Linked DNA regions of Rhinolophus ferrumequinum. The protein of the gene in region 3 interacts with the protein of the main gene of each other region in a biochemical or structural test. Links are inferred from orthologs where the notes say so. Each region holds a gene or a part of one and is shown on either strand. Other genes may lie near its edges.

The links.
Region 1: the proteins of PPARG (region 3) and NCOA4 form a complex in vitro, tested with the Homo sapiens proteins (2 studies listed by BioGRID, with this or other methods). The link is inferred for Rhinolophus ferrumequinum from reciprocal best matches to the Homo sapiens genes PPARG and NCOA4.
Region 2: the proteins of PPARG (region 3) and NR0B1 form a complex in vitro, tested with the Homo sapiens proteins (2 studies listed by BioGRID, with this or other methods). The link is inferred for Rhinolophus ferrumequinum from reciprocal best matches to the Homo sapiens genes PPARG and NR0B1.
Region 4: the proteins of PPARG (region 3) and NR0B2 form a complex in vitro, tested with the Homo sapiens proteins (2 studies listed by BioGRID, with this or other methods). The link is inferred for Rhinolophus ferrumequinum from reciprocal best matches to the Homo sapiens genes PPARG and NR0B2.

Annotation. Positions count from the first base shown.
Region 1 is NC_046299.1:64,575,890-64,583,611, reverse strand, and holds the start of NCOA4 (nuclear receptor coactivator 4), read left to right. Parts: upstream 1-4,714; 5' UTR 4,715-4,830; intron 4,831-7,722. Other genes in the region: MSMB (beta-microseminoprotein), read left to right, coding at 2,376-2,505. UniProt on the Homo sapiens protein: Cargo receptor for the autophagic turnover of the iron-binding ferritin complex, playing a central role in iron homeostasis. Acts as an adapter for delivery of ferritin to lysosomes and autophagic degradation of ferritin, a process named ferritinophagy.
Region 2 is NC_046284.1:102,306,673-102,313,641, forward strand, and holds the start of NR0B1 (nuclear receptor subfamily 0 group B member 1), read left to right. Parts: upstream 1-3,965; coding exon 3,966-5,145; intron 5,146-6,969. UniProt on the Homo sapiens protein: Nuclear receptor that lacks a DNA-binding domain and acts as a corepressor that inhibits the transcriptional activity of other nuclear receptors through heterodimeric interactions.
Region 3 is NC_046300.1:42,145,472-42,153,395, reverse strand, and holds the start of PPARG (peroxisome proliferator-activated receptor gamma), read left to right. Parts: upstream 1-4,907; 5' UTR 4,908-4,973; intron 4,974-7,924. UniProt on the Homo sapiens protein: Nuclear receptor that binds peroxisome proliferators such as hypolipidemic drugs and fatty acids.
Region 4 is NC_046292.1:18,430,331-18,437,124, forward strand, and holds NR0B2 (nuclear receptor subfamily 0 group B member 2), read right to left. Parts: upstream 2,564-6,794; 5' UTR 2,459-2,563; coding exon 1,915-2,458; intron 1,143-1,914; coding exon 844-1,142; 3' UTR 504-843; downstream 1-503. UniProt on the Homo sapiens protein: Transcriptional regulator that acts as a negative regulator of receptor-dependent signaling pathways. Specifically inhibits transactivation of the nuclear receptor with which it interacts.

The DNA.
Region 1 (7,722 bases), on a different chromosome or scaffold from region 3:
AAGGTCTGAAGCTATTGTAAAGGTTATCTGGTCTTCACTTCTGCTTTGGACTGTGGTGATTTGTAAGAACAGGAGTGAGTCAGAGCACAGGCAGAGGGCATAGGGTGTGAGGGGGAAAGGATAACATGTACTCAAAACCCTAGTTTCTTCATTGCTTAAGTTTAAACTGTCAGCCCCAAATCACACAGATGTTTTCTGCTGGGTTGCTGTGGACACCAAAGGTCTAGTACGTGGGCTGATAGAAGAGAGTACCTGCAGTGTGATCCTAATTTTCTTGTTTTTTTTTTCCACCAGCTATGTCTATACAGCCACTCCACTCCACCTCCAGTCCTCACCCCCTGGCAAATTCCACTTGATGCCTTCACTTCAGCCTTAGCCTATAGTGTTTTGCAAGAACAGGAGTGGCTTTGATGAAAGAAGCATTGGTTAAACACAAACAAAGTAGTGTTTCTTAGATTTGCCTGATCACAGACTCATTTGGGAAGCTTGCTGAAAACAGCTTTCTGGGGCCCACTCAGAACCTACTGAATCAGAAGCTATAGGGACCTAAGGAATCTGAATTGTAACAGGTATCTCAGAGTTTTATGACACCACCAGAGAGTAGAGCAGCGAGCACTTGACTTAAATCAGAACATCTGAGTGCTACTGAGTAACTTTAAGTATCTGGAAAGTTCCGAACACATTTATTGAGGATGCTCCATGCTAAGTGCTTTATGGAACAGGAAAAATATCAGATTAGGAGACTTTCTGGCTGCCTGAAGCAGGTTCCCAGGTATTGCCTTGGCTGGGTCACTACAGGTGATAGCTGAACCTTGAATTTGTGGCTCCAGAAATTTGACACTGCGTTAGTATCATGTGTCAGTGTAACTCTGGAATTTGATTATATCAGCCAAGTTAAGGGCTAGTGAGCCTTTTCTCCCTGCCATTGCAGCACACCTCCAAAGTGGCCAAAGCTTCCATGTTACCAGGCTTTGACACGCCCCCACCTGGTCAGGGCTGCATCATCACAGCCATGTCAGTACCACCGTCTTCTAGGGTTCCCATGGACAGAGCGTAGAAAAGAGTGACGTGGGAAGAGCCTTGATGCCGGAGTCACAGTAATGGAGTCGGAATCTCCATTCCTTGCATACCTGCTGTATGACCATGAATATGTTTCTTAATCTCTCTTAGCCTCGGTTTCCTCATTGCAAAATAGGGATTATCAGGGTTTAATGAGAATTAAATGAGATTCTGCATATAAATTCAGTAACTTAACAAATATTGAATGCCTTCTCTATGCCAGTTCTGTGTCCGCTAAGCCTGGGACAGTAACCAACACCTAGTTGGAGCTCAAAGTACCACTTCCCTCTTTCCTTCCACCTCCCTATTCCATTTGGCACACTGTCCCGCATGGAGGAAAGGTGCACATTTCTCCCTACTGTTCAGAGCCAACTCCTTTCCCCTGTAATTGCCTCATAGCCTAACAAGTTGTTCTCATGATTTTTTTTTTTTTTTAGTACAGCAAAATACAGCTTTTGATTAAATTTTCTCTGGGAGAATTTTTTTGACACATTTTACTCTCTAAGGGACACTGTGCAGATTGCAAGCTGCCCAGTGGCCTCCCCACTACCCAGACCCCTGCCCCAAGTGCCCAGGGAAAATCTATTTCCAGTTCTCACTTTGATCACTAGATTACCCTTTGGGAGGAGGACTGAAATGTCTTCTTTGATTAAAATATGTCAAGGGTCACCTTTTGGAAGGAAACATTGTCACAAAGGGCTCTGGGGATGGCTGCTTCTGTGTACACGTTGGGCAGGGGTAATTTAAATCTGGGGTGTATGGATGGGTTCTGGGAAAGTACTGAACCCTAACATTGTTTGCTCCCTTGAATGTATGGGTGGACACCCCTGGGGAGAGGGCCCCAAGCTTTTGTCAGCATCTCCCTGGACTCCGTGAGTCTGGCCTGGAGTGCCTCTTTGCTCATGTTGGCTGAGCCAGCGCCTACTCTAATAGGTCCCCATGACAGAGATGGGACAACTGTTCTCTTTCTACATTCAAGCAGCAGTACTGCTAGCCATTACCTGATCAAGGAGCACAAGAAGAGTCAGGCTGGAACAAGCTGCTTGGCCCTAGAACTTGCCTTTGGACCTCTTAGAACTTGCTGTTGTCCTGTGCACACAAGATGGATCTCAGGAACAATGTCAGGGATGGTCTAAGTTTTCATAGCCCAGGTTCCACGAAGGCATCACTTAGGGGTTGCAAACCAAGGGGTGCCCTTAAGTTGGTGAAGGGCATCCTGCACAGTTGGAGTGTGGGCTGCTTCTACCACAGAGCCGGCCCTGAGGAGGCTGGGCATCCTCTCCCTTCTAACACGCCTTCTTTTGTCTCAATGACAGGGTTGCTAAACCGGTGAATTATGACACAGTCAAGTGTGAAAAAATCCTCAACAAGGAAACCTGCACCTATACAGTGGTGGAGCGGGAGGACCCAGAAAAGACTTGTGATGTCAGTGATTGGCTTGTATAATGTGCTTCCAGTAGGTCTGGGTCTCCCAGCCAGAGGGGGCCCTGGTCAGGCCTCCTTGTTCTATGGCTTCTAACAGTCTCTGATTATGTAACCCTTCCTATCAGTAAAATCATATTGAGCAAACACTTGAATATGTGTATACTTTCAACTTATAGATTATGTATGCATTGATATAATGCACATTATAAAGCATGCAAACATTTAATGGAGAGAAAAAATAAATATGAATAAAAGTCATTATTTTCCCTACACTCCAATAGATCATCGTACATCTCCTACTCAGGCACTGCTGTTTCTGATATAGCTGCACTCTGCTTGGCGTCCCTCTATCTGGTGAACAATTCAAAAATTAATGTGTCTTTAAAATGAATTCAGATTCCTTACATTCTTGGAGGTTTTATGTTTTTCCTTCCTTCCTCTTTTTCAGAGTGTCCTCCATGCTGTATCCCTCATATATCTCTATATTTGCCTTACGTTAAGGCAGGTTAGAGTGGAACAGCCTGGAAGAAGTAGCTGTGAGACCGACCACATGCAGCCTGATGGGGTATTAAAGGCCAAGAGCTCTGGCGTGCGGATGAGGAATGGCTTGCGTGCAGCATTCCAGTATCAGTTATTTCTTGCTGCATGCAGACCACCCCAAAAGTTGGGGACTTAAAACAGTGACAGTGCTGATCATCTCTTGCTTCTGTGTTGGAGAACATTTGTTCACCCAACAGGTCTTTACTGAGTGTCTTGGCCGGGCAGTGCTCTGGGCTGGGGGTACAGCAATGAACCAGAGAGACCAGGTCCCTGGTCTTCTGGGGCTTGGAGTCAGGTATGTGTGTATGTGACAGATCACAAACAAGCAAACAGTTTTCTGTTGAACAATCCATGGGCAATTGGTAAAGGGCTTTAGTTCTCCTCTTCCCTTTAACCCTATCTGTTCAAAAATGTTATAGGACTAGCTGAGCAATCCTAAGCAGGCCCCTTAGTTTTTTTTGGTCACTCTAAGATTAAAAAAAAAGTGCTTTGGTCAACTTTAGTGAATCTGCATCTGAGTTGAAGAGGGAATGGGGGTCAGGGAAGTTAAAGGTATGATGCAGTCTTGGCTCCCTCGGTTTGCGGCAGTGGTTAGGCTGATTACTTCCTCATGGGGCCTTTGTGGGCCTCTCCGACATTTTACACTGCCCCTCTTTCTCCACTTCCACCCACAGGCTATGACTGCCTTCTTAGCTTCTGCATCTGAATCTATGTTTCCTGGTGTTCTCAGGGGAGATTGCCTTGACCCTTGGAGGAGTCACTCTTGGGTGGTATCCATAAAAACCTATCGTGATCATCTTCTTTGTAAATCCTACTTAGATGGCCCTTTATCTTGCTGTGAAACATGGGGCACAATTAGCACCAAGTATGGGGACCTCTGTCTAAATGGAAACAGAAGGATTCCTATTTTAACACCTGCTCACAAATAAATGAACAACGAAAAAAACTCCAATGTGATAATGCCGCATTAAGTTGATCGTCATGAGGAGGTACAGAGTGGTGGGATGCAGAGTGTAGAAAACTGTGCTGTGACATGGTGCAAACAAACACATGCTTTGGAATCAGATAATGTGGCTTGGAATGTGGACTCTGACATTTATTTATTTATTTACTGAATTTTTAAAAAAATTGTGGGAACATATATATAACATAAAATTTACCATTTTACCATTTTTAAGTGTACAATTCAGTGGTATCAAGTGCATTCACATTGCTGTGTAAACATCATCACAATCCATAACCAGAACTTCCCATCATCCCAAATGGAAACTCTGTATCCATTAAACAATAATTCCCTTTCCCCAAGCCTGTGGCAACCACCCTTCCAGTTTCTGTCTTTATAAATTTGACTACTCTAGGTACCTCATATAAGTGGACTCATAGTATTTGTCCTTTTGTGTCATCTAACATTTATTTTTGCATCCGTACGTTAATGCTAAATAATACCTACCTTGTGAGTACATTTGGTGTGAGAGAATCACTTAGGATATTCCTCCATACAGAGTACAGAGTTTGCCTTCAACAAAGGCTTGTTTCCTTTAATCTGATTTATTCAGTAAGGACAAAAGAACTGTGACCAAGAGCTCAGGAAAGAATGTGCGCCTGCGCCCTGCACCCTCTGGAGGGCAGACAGCGCTTTGGGCTGACACCCAGCGGAGATCTCGCGAGATTATCAGACTGTGGCGTGAGGTGTGGGTGGAAGGTTGCGCTCTCGCGAGAACTCTGCCATTGGGCCTTTGGTTTGTGTCGGGCTGTGTCTCTCCGAGGAAGGTCCCCTCGGATTGCCGGGAGTTGCACTTGGAGCTGGTAAGAACGGGCGGGCGCGCCCCCTTCGGAGCCTTGGGCTGGTCTGAGGACCATGACTGCTTGCCTTACGGGCTTGGGCCTGCTTTCTGAGGCTAGTTTCTCCTTCGACCCGCCTGGCTCGTGGGCCACCTTCTGCCTGCCCTCTCCCCGGCCATCCACACTCTCGGCCTGGGGCCACCTCCTCCTGTCTGCCGCCTTCCCTCCGGCCCCGGGTGTGACAGCTGCATGTCACAGCGTCTCTTGGAGTGAGGAGGGGCCCGTTTTCTAGAACGGGCCCAGAGTATATGCATTCCTAGCCTGTTGGGTGGAAACGCTAAGAAGGCAATGTTTTTTCGGCCTTATATGCCAACGTAGCTTGATTATCTCCTTTTTTACAGATGAGAAGAGCGAGGCTTGCTCATTCATTGATTCATTCCCCCCAACAATCATTTATTCAGTGCCTGTGTGTTCAGGGTGTTGAGGATATAGCAATGAAAAAAATGGACACAATCCTGTTTTCATGGAACTAAATACTATGTCAGGGACAATAATTATATAGTCATATGTGCCACGTGGTGTAACATGGGATGATGTGATCCAGAATGGCAGAAGTCAGACTGCTAGGGTTTATCTGACTGCAAAGAGCTTTTTTCACTGTACCATTTTGTATTGTTTTCTAATCACGGTAAGGTACACCATAGCGTAACTGTTTCCACCACCCACTTGGTAATTTGGAAATATGAGACTCTTGAGTTACTTCCTGGGGTGAGGATGGGGACGTCATCATAGTTGGCTCACTTCTGCAGTGGGGTCGTAGTGTGACATTTCTGAACTTGAAATAACATCAGACCCTTGGAGGAAGACTTACCCATTACCCAGATGCTACAGTGGAGGTGGGCTTAGACACGTTACTTGGTGCACACTTTCCAAGGTTTGCTAGCTTGTGGATTTGTAAGTGAGATAATATATGTAAAGTCTAGCACAGTAACATTTCTTTTGTTTTATTTCTCCTTCCGTCTCTTCTGTGGAACTTTTGTCCTTGGGTCCCTAGGGAAAATCCTAGAGGTTTAAAGTTTTATGATATTTTGTGTCCTCTATAATTACATTATTAATTTTGGGCAAACAGGTATTTCAAAAGTGGGAAAGCATGGAGAGCTGTGTAAGGAAAGGAAGATGTGATTTTCAAAGGGGGAGGAGATATTTTAGAATTACATAGGACTTCCCACCTCACCCCCCTTCATTAAATCAGCTTAGCTGTGCCAGAATCTCGGGAACCTATGTAGGGGCTTCATAAAGCTGCACAGGGTATTCTGACACATCCTTCCCACAACCTGAGAGCCACTTAGCAAGTGTTTTATAGTTTCCCTCATAGAGTAAGTGTGAGCATACCGGAAGACATTCAGAGCCATTCATTGCTGCTGATGGACTTTTAAATTTGTCTCGTTTCACAGAATTAGTATTTTCTGCTAGATTTTTGGTGAATCAGGGGCACAAATTCTCTAGATGGCAAGTTCACCATTATGTCCTAAGGGACCTTCATGGTACATGTCAGCTTAGGTACTCAATAAATATCTGTCGAATGAATACATAAAGCCTTAATAACTAAATGTAATAATTTGGTTCAGTGAAGGAATGTGTAACTTACAAAATAGGTTAAAATATTTTGTTTGCTTGGTCATAGATAGGATGTTAAGTCTTTTAATACTTGGATGATTATAGATTTCATAAGAACATAATCTTGGGTATATGGTGACTTTTATTTTGTCATTATTGCTAGTCCCCTGGCTTTAGAAGAGGGAAAATATTTTATCAGTTGTTTACTTATGTGGGGGAAAATCCACAAGATGTTTACCATATAAAATCGGGATAAAGTGGTATTATTACTGTGATGGCAGATAAATAACATGTTTTTCTATCCTTGACTATATTGTGGTGAGAAGTTTCCAGTTGAAGATAGGGCAGGGCCCTGTTCTGAAAGCCTACTAAACTTCTGTGATGTCAGCGGGAATTTCTGTGGCGCTGCAAAATCTGAGCAAAAAAATTCCTGTGGCTGTAAATACAGCACTATTTCCCATTTTACTGAGAAACATGCTGGTGCTTGTGGATCTGTTTAGCTGAGCTTTGAAGGGTCTAGCGTCAGGAAAGACACTTTATCTCTGCGTCTATCTTGGAATCATGGTTTCAGTGGCAATATCCTTGCCAGTTTTGTCTTGTTTGAAAGAAAACTAAAAGTAATAGTTATGCTAGAAACATTTCCACTTTTGAAAAACCTCCTTGAAATAATGCAGGCCTTAGTGGGACATCAAGTTGATTATCTGTGTTTAAAGCAGAACTATACCTTACTTATGGTAGCTGGTCTTAATTTAAGCATTTATCATTTATTCATTCATTTATCAAACATGCATTAAGCCTCTGTTGAGTTTAGGACTACAGCATTGCATAACTCCAAGGACGCCTTCTCTTTGTGTCAATGCAATAGAGCACATGGACTGTGAAAGGGGTTGGTAATACCAACATACCGATACCAGGCATTAGCTGTACAAAGCCAAATAATATATGGTCTCTTCTTTTGGGGAGCTCTCAGGCTAAGGAGGCAGACATGTGACAATAAGGGTAACGTGTTACAGGTGTCATGCTGGAAACCTGTGAGATTGCAGTGGGCCCAGAGGACGCAGCAACTAACTTGATTGACCAAACCTATTGAGGGACGGGTGCTTGGTCAGCAAATGCTTAGTAGTAGCTGTGACATGAGCATAGTCAGAAAAGTGACAGATGAGGAGAAAGGAAGGAACTGACGTTGCTGGCAGAGAAAGCTGGGAGACCAAGCTGGACAAGGTGAACCAGCCTGGATTACGTACGGGACAGCTGTCTGGCAGATCATGGTGTTGGTGGCTGCTCTGGGGAGAATGCAGG
Region 2 (6,969 bases), on a different chromosome or scaffold from region 3:
ATGAATACTTGTGAAGAACAAGCAGGCAATCTCATTTTAGACACACTCAATCCAAAGAACCTAGAAAGTCCATCAGAGTTGCAAATAGAAGATTGCAACTTCAAAAAACAAAAGACAAAAAACCCCCACAAGAATAAAACATATCAGAAGACTGCTCCTGGGAAAGAACAGGAATTGTAACCAATATGTTACAAGTTCATGGTTCTCAACATTGTACTGAAGGTTCTATGTGAGATAATCCCTGAAAGGCAAAGTCATTTAATACGTGTGAGGTGTGAAGGATTAAACTCACACAAAAAAATGGGCTTAAGTTACTAGGTTTCTTTTGTGTTTGTTTTTAAATACAGTTGACAAGATGAGTTTTAGAAAAACCTTTGAATAATATAGGGATAGAGTACATATATTAAAATAGTTTATAGCATTTTTCTGCTTTCATAGCTGAAAAGGCTAATGTAAATTTTTTTAATTTTTATTTTTGACATTCAATATTATTTTATATTAGTTTCATGTGTACAGCATAATGGTTCGATATTCATATAATTTATGAAGTGATCCCCCCGATAAGTCTAGTACCCACTCGGTGTGAAAAGGTTAACGTAATATTGAACGTTTTGCTCAATGTTAAGTCATTAGAAAGTGAATCAGTGTAAACTTACGTTGCTTTATATTTTCAATGTAGTGAAGAGGTTAATAAAACGTTTCTGTGAAGGGCTATATTGAGAAAAAAAAAATAACCCTTGAAGGACTAAGAACAAAGTGAACAGATTCATACCGGTTGATAGAATTTTTCCCATTTCACAAGTGTGAAGGCTGAAGTTAAATGACTTGTTCAACATTATAAGAGTGAAAGAGCCCAAATTCACAGTCCTATCTTTTGACTATTCACTCAGTCCTCTTGTTACTTTACCACAGTGCCTGCAGCACTCTATCAAAAAAGGTCCCCACGAAGCTCTGAGTCCAACAGGGCCTTCGAACTTCTCCTTCTTCCAGAGTCACTTCAGTAATAGTTGTGTGGGAATGCTTGCCCTCTGTGTTGAGAGTAGGAGCTATAGCCTTCTCCTGTTTCTCTAAACATGTGGTCAGCCAACAGAAATATTCTTGAGCACCTACTGTATGCCAGACATTGTTCTAGTTGCTGGGATATAGAGTGACCGATTCCTTGCCCTCAGGGGATTTTTATACTAGTGGAGAGGGGAGACAATCAACCAGCATCAAATAACTAAACAAATCAATCATATCAGATTCGGATAAGTGTTAGGAGGAAAATAAAGTAGGGTAACATAGTATAAAGTAACTAGCACTGGCAACTTACGTTGGGACTGAGGCAGCCTGGGTTTTCAGCTAGGTTGTTTGGTGGCTTCATCAAGCAGGAAGACTGTAGAAATAGCAATAGCATACCCAAAATAGTAGCTTGAATATTGGAAATGGCAAATGATGAAATGGACAATGAGATAACATTTCCCTAATACATTATTGTGTGGACCAGGTAACCCATCCAGTGTTTTGAGTCTGGGCCAAGAAATGTGGACATGTAGAAGAAAATGAGACAGCTCCTGGGTGGAGGGTGAGGGTGGCTTTCCCTGGGAGAGAATAATGATGGTATAGTATCACTTCCTAACCCTGAAGTTATCCCACATTATCTTTTAAAAAAAGGGGATACTTATCATATACCAAGCAAACATTTTACATGAAGTAACTCATGTACATGGATTACTTCACAGAAACCACTCTTCATGTTTTACAAATAAGGAAACTGAGGTACAGGCGGCTTAAGTAACTTTCCTGTAAAGGGCTAAATAATGCCCCCCAATGATGTCCGTGTCCGAATCCTCAGAACCTGTGAATATGTTATCTTACATGGTAAAAGGGACTTTGCAAATGTGATTTAACAATTTTGAGATGGAGAGGTTATTCTAGATTATCTGGGTTTGCTCAGTGTAATTATAAAGACACTTATAAGAGTCAGAAAGGAGATGGAAGCAGAGTCGGAGTGATGTGGCCAGGAGCCAAGGAATGCAGGAAGCTTCTAGAAGGTGGAAAAGACAAGGAAATTGATTCTCCTCTAGCACTTCGAGAAGAAACGTCGCCTTGATTTTAGCCCAGTGAAACTGATATCAGAGTTTTGGCTTCCAGAACTGTAGCATAATCAATTTCTGTAGCCTTAAATCATTAAATTTGTGGTAATTTGTTACAGCAGCAACAGAAAACTAATACATTGCCCAAGGCCACGGAGCTACAAAGTGTCAGGGCCAGAATAAAAATTGAGGCAATCTGGTGCCAGTGCTAGAGATTTAGCCACTGTGCTATAGGGCTTCTCCCAGGTAGAACAAAATTTCAGGTTGAATGCAAAATAAATATTTTCTAGATTTTTCTCTTAAGCTTTGAATTTCTAGGTCCCAGAGAAACTGAAAAAAGAGAAAGGGGATCCTATGCCAGCTGATATACACCAGCCCCCACCCCTTCCCTGCTCCATGTCTTCAATCCTCGACCCAAGAGATCACTAAACAAACCTGCCATTCTAGAGATGAGGAATTTGAGGACTAAAGGGTTGTGATTTTGAAATTACCCAGCTGGTTGGTGAAACAATCAACTAGTTACACTAGGGGCAGGTGGTGGTGTGGGGAGACCCACTGATCTCAGTGCCTGTATGGAACTCAAGGAAGGAGGCTGTGTGACAAGTGAGAACCTAAGAATCTAGCTTTCCTGAAACCTGTGTTTCTCATTATTCAGTTAGGAAGGATGGAAAAAGAAATGTTGATTACACATCTACTCAGTGTAATATCTCTAGAAGAATCCAAAGTTCTCACTGTAGCAAGATTTAGCCCCTTGTGATTATTGTATTTCCCCATAGTAGCCACTTTGACATCCTGGTCGCTGCCCCTATTTCTCTAACACAGCACCTAAGACAGTGGGTGCTCATAAATATTAATAGAATTAAACAAAACACTTCTGTCATGCGGGGTCTCTGCTCCCGCTCCCCACATAAGAACACAGGATATGGTGAGGCCAAAAAGGAACACAAACGGAGCCATGGATAAGGGGTTCACACCACTATATTCTCGCTGGCGGCTGGGTTGGAGACACAGGAGGCAGGAGCCACACGATTCGCAATCCAGCGTCCACTTCTCTGCAACCCAACCAACCCAGCGTACCTATGGCAGTTATATCAGTGTCTAATGGCTAACCAGTAACAGCTGATGGCCAACTAGTCACAGCTGATGGCCATCTACTACCAGCGCCAGCACCTTTCCACGTGAGGCGGAGAGCCTGGAAACTGCTCTCTGGGACTCTGTCCCCACAGCTTTCGATTGCATGCTTAGACCAGTGCTTTTCCAAATTTAAGGTGAATGCAAATCCCCTGGGGACCAAGTTAAAAATGCAGATTCAGAGTCAGAAGGTCTGATTGGGGCCAGAGATTGGGCATTTCTACCAAGTTCCCATGATACTAATAGTGCTGGTCCATGGTCTATATTTTTCAAGGTCCCCAAAACTGAAACCTCCCTATCCATATACAAAATATAAGTCATAGAAAGTTTCATCATTCGGTGAAAGTTTCCAAAGATGGCATAGACATATATTTTTCCCGTTTTAGGCACCCCTGCCCTCCCAACAAAGGGAGCAAATGAGATGCCAGAGTTCAATGGAAAGAGTTGGAACAGTGCCGCAAGTACCTGTTCCCGGCTCTGCTTTGGTCTTCCAGAGGCAGGGAAGGGTGTGATGAGAGCAAACAGGAAAGTGTCCAGGAGTTCTCAGGCCTCCCTTCCTCTTCTAGTTCCAGCCTCTAAGTAGTGTCTGCCCCTTATGAACCGCTGAAGTCGCCGTCAAACACACGGGAGCGCAGCGCCGCGCCCCCCTCCGCGCCCTTGCCCAGGCGGAGACGGCCGACGCGCGTGCGTGCGCGCTCAGTATAAATAGCTCCCAGGCGGTTGCCACTGGACAGAGTCCGGCTGCGGACACCGCGGGCCATGGCGGGTGAGGACCACCAGTCGCAGGGCAGCATCCTCTACAACATACTCATGAGCGCGAAGCAAACGCACGCGGCTCCGGAAGCACCGGAGGCTCCCAAGGAGAGGCTGGGGGGCGCATGCTGGGGCTGCTCCTGCGGCGCGGAGCCCCCGGTGGGCAGAGAGGGGCTGCCGGGTGGGAGGGCAGTAGCGCTTCTATACCGCTGCTGCTGTTGTGGTGAAGACCACCCGCGGCAGGGCAGCATCCTCTACAACATCCTTACGAACGCAAAGCAAATGCAAGAGGCTCCGGAGGCGCCCGAGGCGCGGATGCGGGGCGCGTGCTGGGGCTGCTACTGCGGCGTGGAGCCCCCGGTGGGCAGAGAGGGGCTGCAGGACGGGCGAGCCACGGCGCTCCTGTACCGCTGCTGCTTTTGCGGTGAAGACCACCCACGGCAGGGCAGCATCCTCTACAGCTTGCTCACAAGCGCAAAGCAAACGCACGTGGCTCTGAAAGCGCCCGAGGCGCGTCCCGGAGGCGGGTGGTGGGACCGCTCCTACTGCGCGCAGAGGCTGGGGGGCAGCGAGGAGCTGCCAGGTAAGACGGCAGTGGCGCTCCTGTACCGCTGCTGCCTTTGCGGTGAAGACCACCCGCGGCAAGGCAGCATCCCGTTCAACGTGCCCACGAGCGCAAAACAAACGCACGCGGCTCCAGAGGTGCAGCCGGGGGCCCCCTGGTGGAACCCCTTGTGTAGCGCGCAGCGGCTGGTGGCCCTCAAGAATCCACAGGTGGTCTGCGAGGCGGCCTCCGCAGGCCTGTTGAAGACGCTGCGCTTCGTCAAGTACTTAGCCTGTTTCCAGGTGCTGCCCCTAGACCAGCAGCTGGTGCTGGTGCGCAGCTGCTGGGCTTCGCTGCTCATGCTCGAGCTGGCCCAGGACCGCATGAACTTTGAGACAGTGGAGACCTGGGAGCCCAGCCTGCTGCAAAAGATCCTCACCACCAGGCGGCGGGAGATCGCGGGCGACGAGCCGCTGCCTCTCCACACGCTGCCGCCAAACTTGGTACCGCCCATGGAGGGGCGGCATTTGCCGTGGGCCACCGAGGTCCAAGCCATCAAGAGCTTCCTTATCAAGTGCTGGAGCCTGGGGATCAGTACCAAGGAGTACGCCTACCTCAAGGGGACCGTGCTCTTTAACCCGGGTAAGGGCGCCGGCCTGGGGCTCTGGGTTTTCTCTGCTCAGTAGAGCGTTGGTCAGTGCCTACCTGGGGCACAGGGGCTGAACAGCTTTCAGTCGTCAGGGAGTGTCTGGGCAAACGTGAAGAATGGTGATTAACTCAGCATAGTTGGGGGAGCTTCAGAAACCAACCACATCGCGTGGGTAGGCTGCTGCCAGGAACTCAGCCTAGAGGAGGGGGATTTTTTTGTTGAGGTCTGTGCTTGTCTCTACAACTTTCTGTTACTACAGAAAAATTTGTGCCTTCAAGGGACATGGCTATTCCTTCTCTTCTAGTCTTTTAAGTCCACTAGCATAGCTTTAAAAAAACTTTGTGTTCACTGCAAGTTCTGCAACATCTCTTTCTGAATCCCAGTCCTGAAATTTACTAGAACTTCTTTGTTGGAAAAACTCTATTATAAAGACTGGCAAGAAAGGAAACATTTGTTAAGGACCCATAGAGAGACCATCCCCTGGGGACACTGTCAGGCAGGACACTGGACTTGGTGTTTCTGGATCTGCCTCTGAATGGTCATTTTTATGGTCCTAAGCAACTGGACTATTTTATCCTCCAAGTGTCTGTGATGTATCAGGCTAGCAAAGGGGCAGGAAAAAGACACACTAGGTACTTCGACCAGGAGCACTGTATTTTAGAGCTCAAAAAGTCCTTAGAGACCTCCTAATCAACCCCTCTGCCCTCCACCCCACTTGCAAATGATGTACCCTAGTCTCAAGTGACCTTACTCCAAAATAAATGGCCGATGAGTTATGGAGCATGGACCTCCTGTCTCCTGGGCCCAATGGGATGTCTGTTGGATGCTGGGCACTTTCCTCCACACAGGACAACCATATCATGGGAGAACATCTCCCTGGACAGTTCGGCACCTAGTCTTGAGTATGTCTTACTACTAGAGTCATCTTCAACCAGAATCCCACCACAAGGGTCACAGAGTGCTGGAAGTCTCCAGGCAGCTTGAATTGGGGTAGTTTTCATAATGTTCTCTCCATATCCTTTTTTCCTGACACCAGGAGTCTTTGGTTATGTCCTTGCCTCCTGCCTAGCATTTTTTTAAAGGGGTATAGAGCAGTAATTAGTGGGAAAATAATTCATTCAGAACTCACATTTCAGGATCTAGAGACCTCAGCTCATCCCAGCGATCACTGTAGGTCGTCACCTTTTGCTTATATCATTGTTGTCCAAATTTGCCTGTGCGTAAGAAACACTTTAGGGAAGCTTGTTTAAAGTCTCTCCAGGCTCCTTCCCTAGAGGTTCTGACTCAATAGCTCTGGTCCAGGGTCTGCAAATCTGCATTCATAATAAGTGCCTCATGTGGTCTTTAAGATAATTGAAAAACTGTTTTCTCCTTCAGTCAGTGTTATTAAACATCTACCATGTGCCTTGTTCTGTTGGAATACAAAGATAAGATGGGTTCAGCTTCCAGTTTACTTTCTACTAGTTACTACTTTCCCTCTTCTGCCTTGTTTTGCATACTTTTGTCACACACACACAGGCATGTACGCAAGCACGCACCTCCCTTATTCTTGGTTTACTTTCCCGAATCCTCCCAATATGAGTTTAGCCAGCTAAGCTGAGTGTGTTTTAAACACAAATGCACTATATGGGGGCTGGGGAGTAATATCTGTGTAGTGTGTATCCTTTCTTTGCTGTTTATCTGTTTCTATACCTTGATTTTTATGTTTAAACTTTTTTTTTTTTTTTTTTTTTTTTTACAATGGAGTCCATCTATTTGCCTTTTCTCTTTCATGAATCTGCTTTGAAGGCAAATCAGGGAGGGAGGTTGGAAAAGGA
Region 3 (7,924 bases):
AAAATTTCGTAACTAGATTTAAAAATCATGTGTGGGAACATAATAGAGTCATTCAAACAGTAGTGTATTTGTGAATGTCAATGTGTGTGTTTAACCTGTCCAGCATGTTGAACTGGTTATACTTTTTTAAATTTTAAATTAAAATCTTCTAAATCTCCTGAGAATTTACATTGTCTAAAGACTGATAAATGGTATCTCAGATAAAAAGGAGGAGCAAATGTCAGAGCCCCGATTGTACATGGCTGCTGTAGATAAGTGACTCGACTGGATGACTGGAAATACAACACATTAATTTTCCTAAATTCATCTGCAAAATGGTTAAATATCACTATTAATGCCAACATTATTTTGCTGAATCCTTGGGAAATAAAATTTTTGACATGATTTAAAATGTTTGCCTTAAAAAGTAATATACCAGAATTTTTAAATACCTGAGGTCTGTCAGTGGGACTAGTTTAAATATAGTGGGAGTAAAATGGGAATCAATTCATGTACGACCAACTCCCACTACCAGGCCTGTATTTCCTTCCCAATATAACAATCATAGTATGCAATTATGAACCTGGGAACAAAGGTCCCCTGGTTGGAAGAAAAGCAAATGTATTGGCAAATCTCAAATGAAATAAACAACTGAGCATTAATTACAAAAATTAAGTGCCATGGGACCAAACATCAATATTCTGAAGGAGTCCCTGTGGTTGGGGAAAACTGAACCAAGGCACAATCTTCTGTCCCTAGAAACTCCATATGGCTCAGACTGCATACGTATACTGTTGCAGAGCGGAGACCATGTGTTGTGTATCATTTTATCCCCAGCACTTAACAGAAGGTCTGGCACAAAATAAATACTCAATAAATGTTTGTGGAATGAATGAATCTGCAACTGTAGTTTATACAGTGTTATTCCAACTTCTTAAAATGTGGTTAAGAAACACATTTTACACCAACTCATGTTACACACAAATGCACATGCATGTATAACACAAACGTTATGAAGCAACACTTTCTTGAATTCGAGGTATGCTTTCTGATAGTTTCTGTTCTCTTTTGTTCCTCTTTATTTGACATAAAAAAAATGCTGGGTATGACCCATTAAACTGATTTAATAAGCCACCAATGGATCAAGGCCAATAGTTTAAAATACAGATTTATACATTTCAATTTATATGGCTTCTTATATTTATAGGCTTCAGTAACTATATATCACTTTTTTTTAAATGACAAAATTTTTGTATCTGGAAGGGAATTTAGAAAGTATTCAAACCAACTCTAAAATGTTGCACTGGTTATGAATTCCCTGCAGTGGGATTCCTTTTATCAGTGTTGTTTAATTCAAATTTCCCCCGCCGAAAGCAGATTGGCCCTACCTCACACCATACACAAACTTTAACTCAAAATGGATCACAGACCTAAATGTAAGAGTTAAACCTATAAAACTCTTAGAAGAACACCTAGGAATAAATTTCCATAGCTTTAGGTTACGCACTGATATGCCATTCAGAGAAAAAATAGATAAATTAGATTTCACCGAAACTGAAAACTCTTTTGCTTCAGAAAACTCTTGCTTTAGATGACTCCATGGAGAAAAAAAGAATTACAGGACGGAAGAAAATATTTGCAAATTAAATACCTGATAAGGGACTTGTATGTAGAATATACTATAAATAACTCTTATAAATTAGCAACAAAAAGACAAATAACCCAATTTAAAAATGGGCAAAGGATTTGAATAGATGTTTCTTCAGAGGATACACAAATGGCCAATAAGCACAAGAAAAGATGCTTGTATAACTAGTCATTAGGAAAATGCAAATCAAGACCATAATGAGATACCATTTCACACCCATTAAGTTAGCTAAAATAAAAAGACAACAGTGTTGACAGAGATACGGAGAAATTGAAACCTTCATACATTGCTGCTGGAAATGTAAAATGTTACAGCCACTTTGGAAAACAGACTGGCAGTTTTTTAAAAACTAAACATAAAGTTACCATATGACTCAGAAATTATGCAATGAGGTATATGCCCAAGAGAAATGAAAAATATATGCATACGAAATCTTGGACGTGAATGTTCATAGCTGCATTGTTCCTAATAGCCAAAGAGTGTAAACAACCCAAATATTCATCAACGGATGGATGAATAAACAGAATGTGATATATTCATACAGTAGAATAGCACTTGGCCATAAAAGGAATTGAAATACTGATACATGCTACTACTACATAGGTGAGCCTCAAAACATTGTGCTAAGTGAAAGAAGCCAGTCACAAAAGACCTTGTGTGATTCCATTTATATGAATTGTCCAAAATAGATAAGTCTATAGAGACAGAAATAAATGAGTGGTTGCCTAGGGTTAGGGGGGGAGTAGGAGGTTTCTTCTGGGGTGATGAAAATGTTCTAAAATTAGATGATAGTGATGGTGGAACAACTCTGTCAATAAAGTAAAAATCATTGCATTGTACATTTAAAATGTATAGTATTTAAATTTTAGATTTTGTATATTATATCTCAATAAAGCTGTTATTAAAAAAAAAAAAAGAGCAGATCGGAACTCTGGAATGATCAAGAAATAGGATGCATGCAGCACTTCCAGGCCTGAAGGTAGAATGCTGAGCCACCTCAACCTGACTACCTAAATTGCAGGCAAAGAAACAGCGTTTTTCAGTGGTCAATAAAATGGTTTTCTTTGAAGTCCCTATAATAGAATCGTGGCCCTTAGCCTCTTATTTTAGGGGATGAGTGGAAAGATACACACCTATTGATTTAAGCTCTGAACTTTCTTTGAAATGATACTCATCCTCACAAAAAATTCCTTCAAACTACAAATGAAGGCATTCTGCATTAGAGAGCAAAGAACTAGGTAGGCATCCCCAACAAATTAAGATGCTAAAGGACTAGAGAGCATCCTGGGCAAGTAATTGATACGGTTCTTGAAATCAGGGATTTTATTCTCCTTTGGGAGGGCCAGGCCGAGAACAGGATGTGTAGTAAATGCAATTGTTAGAAGGCAAAGAAAGTAAGGCCTCAGGTCCGGAAGACCAGAGGCTTTCTGATTGGGCATCTGTCAACCCCCCTTTGAATGGGTCCTGATGGAGAAAGCAGCAGGAGAAGACGCTGCCCACGGTCTACCCTGCAGATTTATGACGCAGCATGCCCCTGACTACTTCTCAAACTTGAAAACTTGACGTCCCCACACCTAGCGTCTCACCGCTACCCCATGTGTCCGAGTCCCTTCGTGTAAGGAACACTGTTAAAATAATTCAAGAAATTATGTTAATGAGTTTAAGAAATACTTTTAATGATTAAAGCTAAAACTCTGTCACGTTGACTAATGAATACCAGTTTGAATTACAAATGAAAAAGGGGGGCTCTGAAAGTGTGCAGCACCATTAGGATATCAGATAAAAACCAGGTGATCGTAAGTATGCTTTTAACTACTTTTTGTCAAGAATGTCATGGAAAAGAGCAATTGCGGGGCGAGTGGGAATCTCGCAGAGCACTCTGCGAAAGGCGAGACACACTGGCCTGGAGAGGGCGGGCGGGCTCCAGAACCCCACATCCCGGGCTCTACTCTAACGTGACCCGGGGCATCTTTCTGAGCTTCGCCCGGGGCCCTTCTCTGTAAAATGGGACCATTCGGGGCCGCCTCCCAGCGGTGATTGTGAGGAACAAACCGGGCTGGGCGCCGAGTAGGCGCTCAGAAAAGGCAGCCTCGGAGGCGAGGGGCCCTACTGTGCGCCAGGGCGCGGGTGCCGCGGGCCGCTCCCTCCCCGCTCGCCCGCCGCCCACACCCCGCGCCCGCCCCTGGCCCCGCTCGGCCTCGGGCAGGCGGAGCCGACCGCACTCCAGGCCCCTGCGGAGCAGCCGCCTGGGGCGCTCGGTCAGCCGCCGGGACACTAGAGCGGGGCGCCACGCCGCCGCCGCCGCCGCAGGTCAGAATCAGGGTGCCCGGGGGCGCTCCGGCCCACGGGGCCTCGGGGCGGGAGATGCGGGGCGAGGGGAATCGGGGGAAGGCGGCGCGCAGAGGGGTCCGGGACCGAGGAGGGTCTATCTATGCTGAGAGCTGGCGGGGGCTGAGGGCTCGCTCAGAGGGGACCCGGACGGACTGAAGGGTCGCCGCTGAAGGGGTCTCTGGCTGAGGGGTCGTGGGCAGAGGGGTCACGGTCCGCGGGGACAGGGGCTGACAGGTCCGGAGCTGAGGACTGAGCCCCGAGAAGTCCCGGCGCAGCGCGAGCAAACGCGGCGGTGGAGGGCAAGGGCTGCACGCGAGGCGCGCCAGAGAGCGGCGGTCCAGCCCCAGGAGACGCGAGCCCTCGAGTCCTGCGCTGCCCTGGGTGGAGGTCCTAGAGGACCCGGGACCTCCGATCACCGGAGGAGGTGCTCAGGCTTCCGGGAGCGGCTCGCGGGGGACATTGGGGTAGAAACGCGGGATCCCGTGCGTGGCCGTCTGGCGGCCGTGGAGTCCTCTTGCTGGGTCTGCAGAACCCAGGCGGCGATCGCTGTGTAGGGTCGTAGTGACAGTTAAGCGAGGGACGCCCTTGGAGTCACCCAGCCCGGTGCCCTTAAGCTCTCTGCTGACTCTGAGCCGAGTGGAGGGGTGGGGGTGTGGGCTGGAGCCCCCAGGGTCGTCGGGGATGGAAAGTGCGGCTCCCTCTCATCCCCTGTTGGGAAAGCGAGTGTTAGCGTGTTGCAGGCCCCCACTCGTCCGCACAAGCTTTACTACTGCACTTGTAGCCTAACCGAGGTAGGTAATCATGGTCCCTCAGTGTAGGGGGTGCAAGGTGGGTGTGTAGTCGTGGTACTTTATGCCTTGGTATTTGGGGAGGAGCCTAAGGTAAGGAGGCAGAAACTGGGAGTAACCTATCTGCTGCTTTTATATAAGGTCAGTTAGGTAAAGAAGGGGCCTTTACCTCTGCTGGTGAATCAGAAGGCTGCATTTCTAAATTCTTCTTAACTCCCAGTGCTTAGGTGAGTCGGCTCACTGTAACTGCATTTTGCTGAAATGTTTTGGTGATGTATCCAAAATGTGCAAGATAACGTTGATGGTTAATTACATTATAGCGTTATTATTTTGCTGTGCTCTTGCTTTACGGTGAGAATCTAATTCACTTGAGTTTGAGGATAATGGTTGGAAAAATGAAAAATTATTTCAGGAGAATAAAGTAAAACAGCAGTGTGTCATGAAGAAGCTAAAGTTTTTCTTCTTTTCCTCCTTTTAAGCTTGGGGACAAAATGTAAAATTAATTTGTGTAAATTATCATCTGAAAACAAAACCGAGCAAGATGATGAACTGAGTTGTGTGAAACCTATTGCTGGAGAAACTCGATTTTGAAGTACAATTTTAATGTTAGGTGTTTTAATCATTCATGAAACAAATTGTAATGAGTTATTGGGAGAACAATAACCAGCTTACTTTTTAAAGGACCTGAGTAGATTTGTTCGACGGATCTCAGGTGTTCTGTGGCAGTCTTTCTTGTTTAGGGCTAAGTGTTCAATTCCTGGCTGAAAGTAGAACCAACCTGATGGTGCTAAATGAGTTAGAAAACCCTCTGGTATAGAGAATAACATAGACACTCACTGTGGCTTCTCTCTTAAAAAAATACCTTCCACTCCTATGCAAGTTTTATAGAAAATACTCATAGATACTCCCAGTTAGCATGTGGAGTGCTATTTCAAAAGATCCTATTCAAGTTTTAAAACAATTTTTGTGTTGTCTATTTTTCAATCAGATTCACTCTGGAGGTTATATATGTTCCATAGGATTCTTTAATATACAATATTTTAAAACTAATGTGTTAGCCAAGCAATGAAGTCTGTTACAAAACCATCCATTTTTGTCTTACTTTGTACTTCATATAATTTTTCTTCTTTATTTAAATTTCATGATATCTGATACTCCGCTTGCTGATAATTATATCTTAAAATAAAACACCTTAAAATTAACTAGTGACTGCTCAGCCTTTTCTTACTGGAAGAAAAATAACGTGATTTAATTTTTAAATCAAAACTCTTTTTCATATTTAAGTTGGTTTGTAGCTTTTGCAATAACTATTGTAAAAGCATGGCATCAGTGAAGTATAAAGGTTGGAGAATTTCAAGCTAAGTTTTTTGGTCATGGTTTTTTCATTCTTAAATTTAAAAGAATATAATTTCTTTTTTAAATTAAAACTGCAGCTAGTATTTTAAATAAATACACTATTTTCTTTGAAGAGACTAGTTTCCTTACTGTTCATTTCTTTGTATATTTCAGACTTACATTTAAAAGATAAATGATCATTTTTAAAAATCACAATGTTAATTTCAAAATCCCTGTGACATAAAATTATATTATCCCTATATATTAAAATTTGTACAAGAGAAAAAGTGTTACTGTAGGAATTTGCATTAGAAATGCACTGCTGATCATGGCTAATTGCTTTTAATTAGTAAGTAATATGACTATAAGCAAATACATATTTTCTCTCCTCTGTAATTCTCTGAAAATAAGGATGCTTGCCACTAACTTTAATTATCAAGATAATCATGCATGTAATAGCAGTGTGAAAGGCACTGCTATGAAAACATATGCAAGTATTAATAATGCATTTCGTTTTTAAATTGTGAAGCGGTTGTTAATAACTGGAGACTTTCGTGAAATAGGAAAAAAATGTTAAAATAATACATTACAAATGTCTTATATATTCTGGCCCATACTTTTGTTTCTTTCGTAGGCTCTACATATGCCCAATGAATAGAACAGAAAATGTTAGTCATTCTAATTTGTGAGTGTTTTGCTGAATTCATTGTCACTTGAATTTGGAAATATAATATATATCATAGGTGCGGCAAATGTACTGGAACAAGTTTTTGGTCTCATAGGATTCCACTAAATAAATATTAGTTGTAGAGGATGTTTTTTGAATCACTAATCAAGAGCATTTAAGACACCAGTCTATAAGCATAAACATACGCCCCTCCTCGCCTTAAAAACTGTTAAACTGAATTTCTAATTTACTTTTCTTATTTTTTCCTAGCAAATTCCCACGTAAGGGTAGTTGACTCTTGAGCTGTTCCTTTCTCTCTCTTAAGACTAAAAAGTAACAAAAAGAGCAGCGATGTAAAATGCTGACAAAGGTCCTTTAAAACTGATCGATTTGACTTCACAAAAGTACAGTAAGATCTGTGAATAACCATCTTGCAAGCGTAGATAGCACCAACATATCATACTTCAGTTAGTTTCATAGCATTCTAGATAAAAATTTTAAATTTAAGATTATTTGTAATCTTCCTGGGGGTTTCTTATTTACTATTTGTATTTTATCACAAGACAGATGTAGATTTGGGGGAGTTATATGGCATATGTTTTAAGCTTATTTAATAAAAATATCATGTTTTAATTTTTATTTACCTAAAATACTTAAGTAGGTTCTTGTAAGGAAATCCGCTCAAATACAATAGGCCATATTTTGGGCGAAATTTTTGTAGATACTAAGACAACAACTATCACCAATAATAGTATATACTTAAATTATTTTTTATTTTAAAAATGGGTTCATGTAATCTTAATGTTTTTCTTCAACAATGCGCACCAGTATTTTAATACTAAATATTTAATTCAGTATATGAGTGTGTTTACATTTTTAATTGTTTCAGTTATTATAGCGGGGCAAGTCTCTAATCCTTTCTAACTCTCCATTTCATCATCTGTGAAATGGGAAAAGTATTGCAGTTACTGTTCTGTGCTTTTTTGTTTTTTGTATGATTTTTAAGACTTGATCAGCAACCTGTGTATCTTAAATGATATGACGTTGGCCCTGAATTTAATTGAGCAGATATTTTAGAGAACCTTCATAGTTGTCTGCATTATATATAAGTAACTCTTTTACAACTGTTAATAGTTCACCCTAGCACTAATTTTGAGATTATTCTTAAGAGTGAAC
Region 4 (6,794 bases), on a different chromosome or scaffold from region 3:
AAGGCGGTAGCCAGGCCAGCCCTGGATACCCTTGCCCCCTCCCATTGGGAGAACAATAGGCCATCCTCTTCTGTTGTCTGAAGGCCTGGAGGAAGTGGATGATGCCGAACTGCAGAAATTCCAGTGACCTTGTCCATTTCAGTTAGGGAATGGGCTGCTTTGTTTTCCTTATTGTCTGTGATTGGGCGCCTGTAGTGGGCAGGAGCTGAGGGGTCAGTGAGGGGTTTGGGGACAAAGAGAAACTGCTCCCCCCACAGAAATAAAGGCAAGGAGGTGACGGGGTCCTGAACTGATCCTATCCCCTGGACTCAGAAATGTGCAAAATCAATCCCATCCTCAGAAATGAAATCATCATTCCACTCTGAAAATTAATATCCTGGTTCTCTGAGGTCTGGCTCTTGCACCCCTTATGGTTCCTTCCTCTTGGGCTCCCTCTGATGGGGGCAGGGTGGACCCTGGCGGTGAGATGGTCCCTTCCAAATGTACAAAATACAATGTCAGCCTCCAAGGGTGTAAGCCTTTTATTACAAAAACCAATAACTTAAGTCAATTCTGTACAGTCAGTAGGACTTTTGGCCCAATGAGCCGTCTAAGCTTCCGTCTCCATCCCAGGAGAGGACAGGATTCTTGGCCCAGAGACTCTGGGGACCTCCAAGGGCCGGCCAGACAGCTGGAGCACTGTGTCCAAACCAAGGAAGACCAAGACAGGCTGTGGCTGAGTGAGAGGGCACATAGTCCGTCTGGCTGGGCTAGGGCCAGCTTTCTCCTAGGGGGCTGAGTGCTCTCTAATAGGCTTGCCCCCTCTCAGAGCATTGGGTCACTTCTGGGGGCAGCTGGGCCAAATCAGCGCTGCCAGCTTCTGCCCAAACTATACCTGATCTCTGCTTGGGCTGGAGCAGGTCGGCTCAGCAAAAGCATGTCCTCGAGGAGGCCAGCGATGTCAACATCTCCAATGATAGGACGAAAGAAGAGGTCCCCAAGTAGGCTGTGTGGAATGGACTTGAGGGAGGAGGCTGTGAGGAGGACATGGGCCAACCGGCCTTGGCCTGCTGGGCACCAGGGCTCCAGGACCTCAAACAGTGCCTGATGAGCCTCCTGTTGCAGGTGCCAGATGTGGGAGGAGGCATGGAGACCTGGCATGTCTGCGGGCAGAGGGTGAAGAGCACTGGTGAGCATCCCACTCCCAGCCACCACAGGGCGAGACTGGCCCCAGACCTGAGGTCACTGGGAAAATTATCTTATCTCTGTGCCTCAGTTTCCTCATCTGTAAAATGGGTATAATAATAGTTCCTATCTTGTAGGCTTGTTATGAGGTTTAAATGAGCTAATATATGTAAAAAATGGAATCGGGCCTAACATACAGTAAGTGTAATATGAGTATTTCGCTAGATTATTATAATTAATTACTATAATTTACGTATTCCTTGAGGGCCTGTTGGTGAGGAATTCTTATCGAGATGTTCTCCAAATTACAAACAACACTACCTCTATCCCTTGCTCTCCTAGCTAAATGGTACAAAGACTCCTTCCCCACACTCCCTCATTTTCTTTCCTCTTCTCTGTGTGGTCTTTCTGAACCCACAGTTTTACCTTGACTGAGGCATAGCTGTGTCTGCCCAACCTCCCCTCCCCCACTCCTTCTTTTCCTGAGTGTCAGGGCAAGCTTCTTGGGCAGAGTGGTAAGGGCCAATCTCTAGTATGTACAGACCTGAATTCTAATCCCTGTTCTGCCCCTTCCTGGCTCTATGACCTTCAGCAGATCATTTAGCCTCTGTGAGCCTCTTTTGTGAGATGACTGGAGATAAAGAGGACCCAAAGAGATAATGAATGTCAAACCCCTAAAAGGTGCCTTCCCTGGCTGGGCCCTGCCCCCCTCCAGCCTCGGCCCTTATCCTGGAATGTCTGAGAGCTCACCAGAGTTGAAGAGGATGGTCCCTTTCAGATAGGCATATTCTTTGGGGCCCAGCTCCAGGCTCCAGAAAGACTCCAGGCAGCACTGAAGCCACTGCACCGCAGCTAGCGAGGGCTGGGGCCGATCCGGCATCTGGCCGCTGCCTGCATTGCTGCTGCTGGGCTCCTCCAGCAAGATCTTCTTGAGTATGCTGGGAACCGGGGCCTCCGCCACCTCGAAGGTCACAGTGTCTTGGGCCAACCCAATCAGGAAGAGGGGGCCCCAGCAGCCTCGCAGCAGCTGCCGCTGATCCTGGGGGGGCAGCTGGCAGAAGGATGCCAGGTTCCTGAGGAAGACCACGGTCTTGGCCAGAACGTCCAAGGCTTGCCTGCAGGTGCGATGGGGAGCACGCAGCCGGACAGGCCGGTGCTGCCTGCACAGGCAGTGGCTGCGGGCAGGGGGCACAGAGGGCCTGGCCCTAAGGCTGGGGCTCAGGAGTGCGTACAGAATGGCTGGGCGGTCTGCAGCACCCTGACATGGGCAGGTCCCCGGCTGACTGGAGCTCATGGTGGAGGAAATGCTCCTCCTTCCTCCTGCTCTCCCGCCCTCTGCACTGTGGGCACTATTTATATTCCCAATGGGGAGGAGGGGGGAGCAGCCCAACAACCTTGACTCCAGAAGTCATATTCATTGAAAAAAAAGAAAGACACTGACCCTGGCAGGACTGGTGGGGAAGTGCTGGGGGCGGGGGCCTTGAGAGCTCCACGTGGCCCTGATAGGCTTCAGTCAATGAAGTGGTCGGTGCAAGGCATGGGGCCACCTGTCCGCTGGGCCGGCTGCCCCTTATCAGATGACTCAAGCAGATAAACAGGGTCATTAACCCAGGCTGTACCAGGGCACCAAGGCCTCAGGTGCATAATCAGCAGGTGGCCATGGCAGGTGTCCCTATTGGTGCCTGCAGGACTTTTGCTAAGCTGGGAAGTCAGCCCCAGAGCTGGACAAGCCTTGAATGCAAGGCCCAACCTGGAAATGCCTTATCGCTGATTTGTTTGCCTAACCTTGGGGCCTAGCTCCTGTTGTTGGTAAGGAACAGGCTGCAGAGAAGGGAGCCGGGACCCTGGGGGGCTGGGGAGGACTTTGCCCACTGAACAGTTTAGGAGGCCCCTTCCTCTGACTCCAGTTCTGGGGGCCCTGCAGAAATGAACTCTCTCTCCCCAGTCTGTATTCCTAGAGCTCCTGAAAGGCCGTATCTGCTGAGAAGCACTGGCAGAATGATAATGTAATATGGCTACTGTTTATTGAACACTTTCTATGTGCTACTTTCCACTCTAATATTCAGAGCTTCCTTATGAAGCAAGATTTTTACTTTTTGAGATTCACAGAGGGGAAGTGACTTGTCCAAGGTCATGCCACTAAGAAGAGACAGAGCCCAGATCTATCTGATTTCAAAGTCCTTGCTTGTTCCCCTGAATCTACTGGCCCAATTGTGCAGCAAGAGCTGTGTGGCCTGAGTTTCCCAGAGTTGGTGGCTACCTGGACCCCTACCTTGGTGCTGCCTGGTCTGCAGATGTTGCCCACTTATGATCTAGGCAGAAATGTTGCTTTGCTACCAACCACTCAGCAACTCTGTCTCAGACAGTGGGGCATATTATGTGAGAGTGGCGGGAAGGTCCTCGGCTGTGTCATGTCTGTGGACCTTGGCAAGCCCAGCCTGGGCAGCCATCACCATCCCTGGCATCTGCTCCTGGCTCTATCACTTTACAGTTGTGTGACCATGGGCTGATTTCCAAATTTCTGTGGGCCTCTGGAGTTTCATTTGAAACAGTAATGCCTGCCTGCAGGGCTGCTGTGAGGACAAAGTGAGGTCCTGGATGTCAAATTCCAAGCAGTTTTTGGCATACAGTAGAACTTTGCTCCCCCATTGCCTCTGTCTAAGGAACTAAGCCCCAGCAGACAAACAGGCACACCTCTTTCATTTGATTGTGAATTGTCTTAATCTTAACATGTATAAAGTTCCTTTCACATCCTTTTTCTCACTGAATTTTCCACAGCGTCCCCTCAAAAGAGACTCTGGAGTCAGATTGCTTGGGTCCAAATTCTGCTTCATCACTTAGCTGAGTGACCTTGGGCAAGTCATTTTATATTTCTGTGCCTCAGTTTCCTCATCCTTAAAAGGGTGGCAACAAAGGCCAATAGTAGATATTGGTTTATGGGGCTTGAAGCTTATACAATTTGAAGGACCCTCTTTAACAATAGAGAATCAGGTATAGAAGTGAATATTTAAAATACGAAAACAAATCACTACCAATTACAAACTAAAATGAACTGACAGAAAATACAAATGTCACAAACCCAGGAGAATAGCAAGATACTTTTACTGGTTGCCTGACAATATTTGCCTACGTGTTTTAGCTGTACCCTCTTTGCTCACCTTTTCACATGTCAATACTATTTCTTTTGAAAGCATCACAAACACAGAAAGATTGCAAGTACAGTACAGGGAACTTTTTTTTTTTTTTTACCTTGAACCATTTGAAAGTAAATTGCTAACTTGATGCCCCAGAACTCTCAAATACTTTAGTGTGTAATTCCTACAAACAAGGACATTCTCTTATAAAACCACAATATAATCATCAAAAGCAGGAAATTAACAATGAACAAAATCAGGAAAGTAATATCTAATCTCAGACCCCATTTCAGTTTCACCAAATGCTCTTGTGAAATCAGTGACAGTGACCGTGCTCAGTCCAGAATCTCACATTGCATTTCTTTGTCATGTCTCCTTGGTCTGTCAGTCAGTAAACTTTCCCTCTGTCTTTCCTTGCTTTTCAGGACCTTGACACTTTTGAAGAGTTGTAGTTATTTTGTAACAAGACTCTCAATTTGATTAGATTCAAATTATGTATCTTTAGTAGCAATATCACAAAACTGATGTTGTGTTCTTCTTGACTATTCTCCATTTGGCCCATGGTTCACTTTGGTCACTTAAGGGATGTCTGCCAGGCTTCTCCACTATAGTTATTCTTTCTCCTTTGTAACGAATCAGTATTTTGTAAGGAGGCACTTTGAAACTATGTAGTTATTCCTCCTCATACTTTGATGTATGTATGTATGTATGTATGTACGTATGTACATATGAATTCATGGTCTCCTACTTTATTCAGTGGTTTGTAATCTATTACTATCATTATTTATTTTGATGCTCAGATTGTCACAGATTTGGCCAATGGGAGCCCCTTCAAGCTTGAGTCTATATATATCCTTTCGACATTCCCCATTGTTCCTCGAACATCCCTTATTTTCTGGTATAACAAGGTGTCTTTTTTCCAGCCTCTGGAATCAGTCAGTACTCCAAGAAGCTCTGATTCAATGTTTTAGTGGAGAACAGTATTTAAAAACCATAATCTGGGCACTAGAGCCATGTCTAGAAACCAAGACCCTCTCATTGCAATTAAGGTGTCACTGCTCCCAGGCCCTCCCAGAGCTAAGAAACGCCCACATGTGCTCACGTACAAACACACACACATTCATACTTAGTTCTATTAATTATTTATACATATTAAAAAACCATGAGTTCAGACTATTATCTCCAATTCTAATACACCGTAAAGGGGGTTATTGTAGTTTTCATCTCCATTTATACCTCCATCTTCTGACACTGAGCAATCTGGCTTCCATTATTCTTAATTTATTAACCTGTTGCATCAAGCCCTTGTTTTTAACCAGTCTTCCATTTCTGCCACCACTTTGTCCCATATGAGATACCTTCCTCACCCATTGGGCTCTGATACCTTGTGTCAGGCTGCCACCTGCCACTCAGGGACCCCCTTCTTCTCCCTACTGAGCCCCTGTCACCCATGCCAGGTCACCGCTCTGTGTGGACACCCTCCTCACCATGCTGGGGCTCTGACTTTTGCTCTGGGCCACTGTGGCTCCCGCCTCCTCTACTTGGGGCGCATACCTCTACCTTGTTCCACACAACCTAATAGTTTTAGGACTGAAATTTTCAGGAAGAGAAAAGAAGGGGAGGAGGTAGAGCTGTCAATGATTTTTAAAAATAAATTTCTACAGTGAGACTAGAGAGATGATTTTATCTTTTCACTCGCAGGATTGATCAACAAAATTTCATTCTTGATAAGAGACATAAACTTCACACATAGATGTATATGCTACTTGTAGCACTGTTTATAGGTTTGTAGTAGGAATTTTCATAAATTCTACTTTGTGTAATTCTTATCAAAAAAGAAAAATATGCATGAAGCATTTATAATTGCATATGCTGCATTATTCCTTATAGGAGAGAACTTCTCTTTTGAGTTGGTGTCAATATGAAATGACAACTTAGTGATGACTAAGTGATAGGATTTGGTGCAGCTTTGCTTTTTGTTCTACACATACCCTGTTTCTTCCCCCATCACCGACGTATTTCCAGGTGTCTTGGGAATCATTCATATTGGGAAGTGGGATGAGAGTGGGAAGAAACAGTGGTCCTAACCAACAAATTTTTAATCAATTTAAATTTTTATTTTTTCAAATTAAAAAGAAAAAATATGTATGTATATGAGGTCTGACAATTACATTCGTGAACTTGATATCAGAGGGATTATTCATTATGAAGTTGTACCAACTGGACAATCAGTTAACCAAGTTTACTACTGTGTTTTCCTGAAAATAAGACCTACCCCAAAAATAAGCCCCAGTTGAGATCGTCAGCCAGACAGATGCATTTAGTATGTTATGACGATGTCTCAGAAGAAGATGACATGACTGTATTTGAATATAGATTGTTGTACATGAAAAAAATAAGATATTCCCTGAAAATAAGCCCTAATGTGTCTTTTGGAGCAAAAATTAATATAAGACCCAGTCTTATTTTTTGGGAAATACAGTATAAGACGTGGTC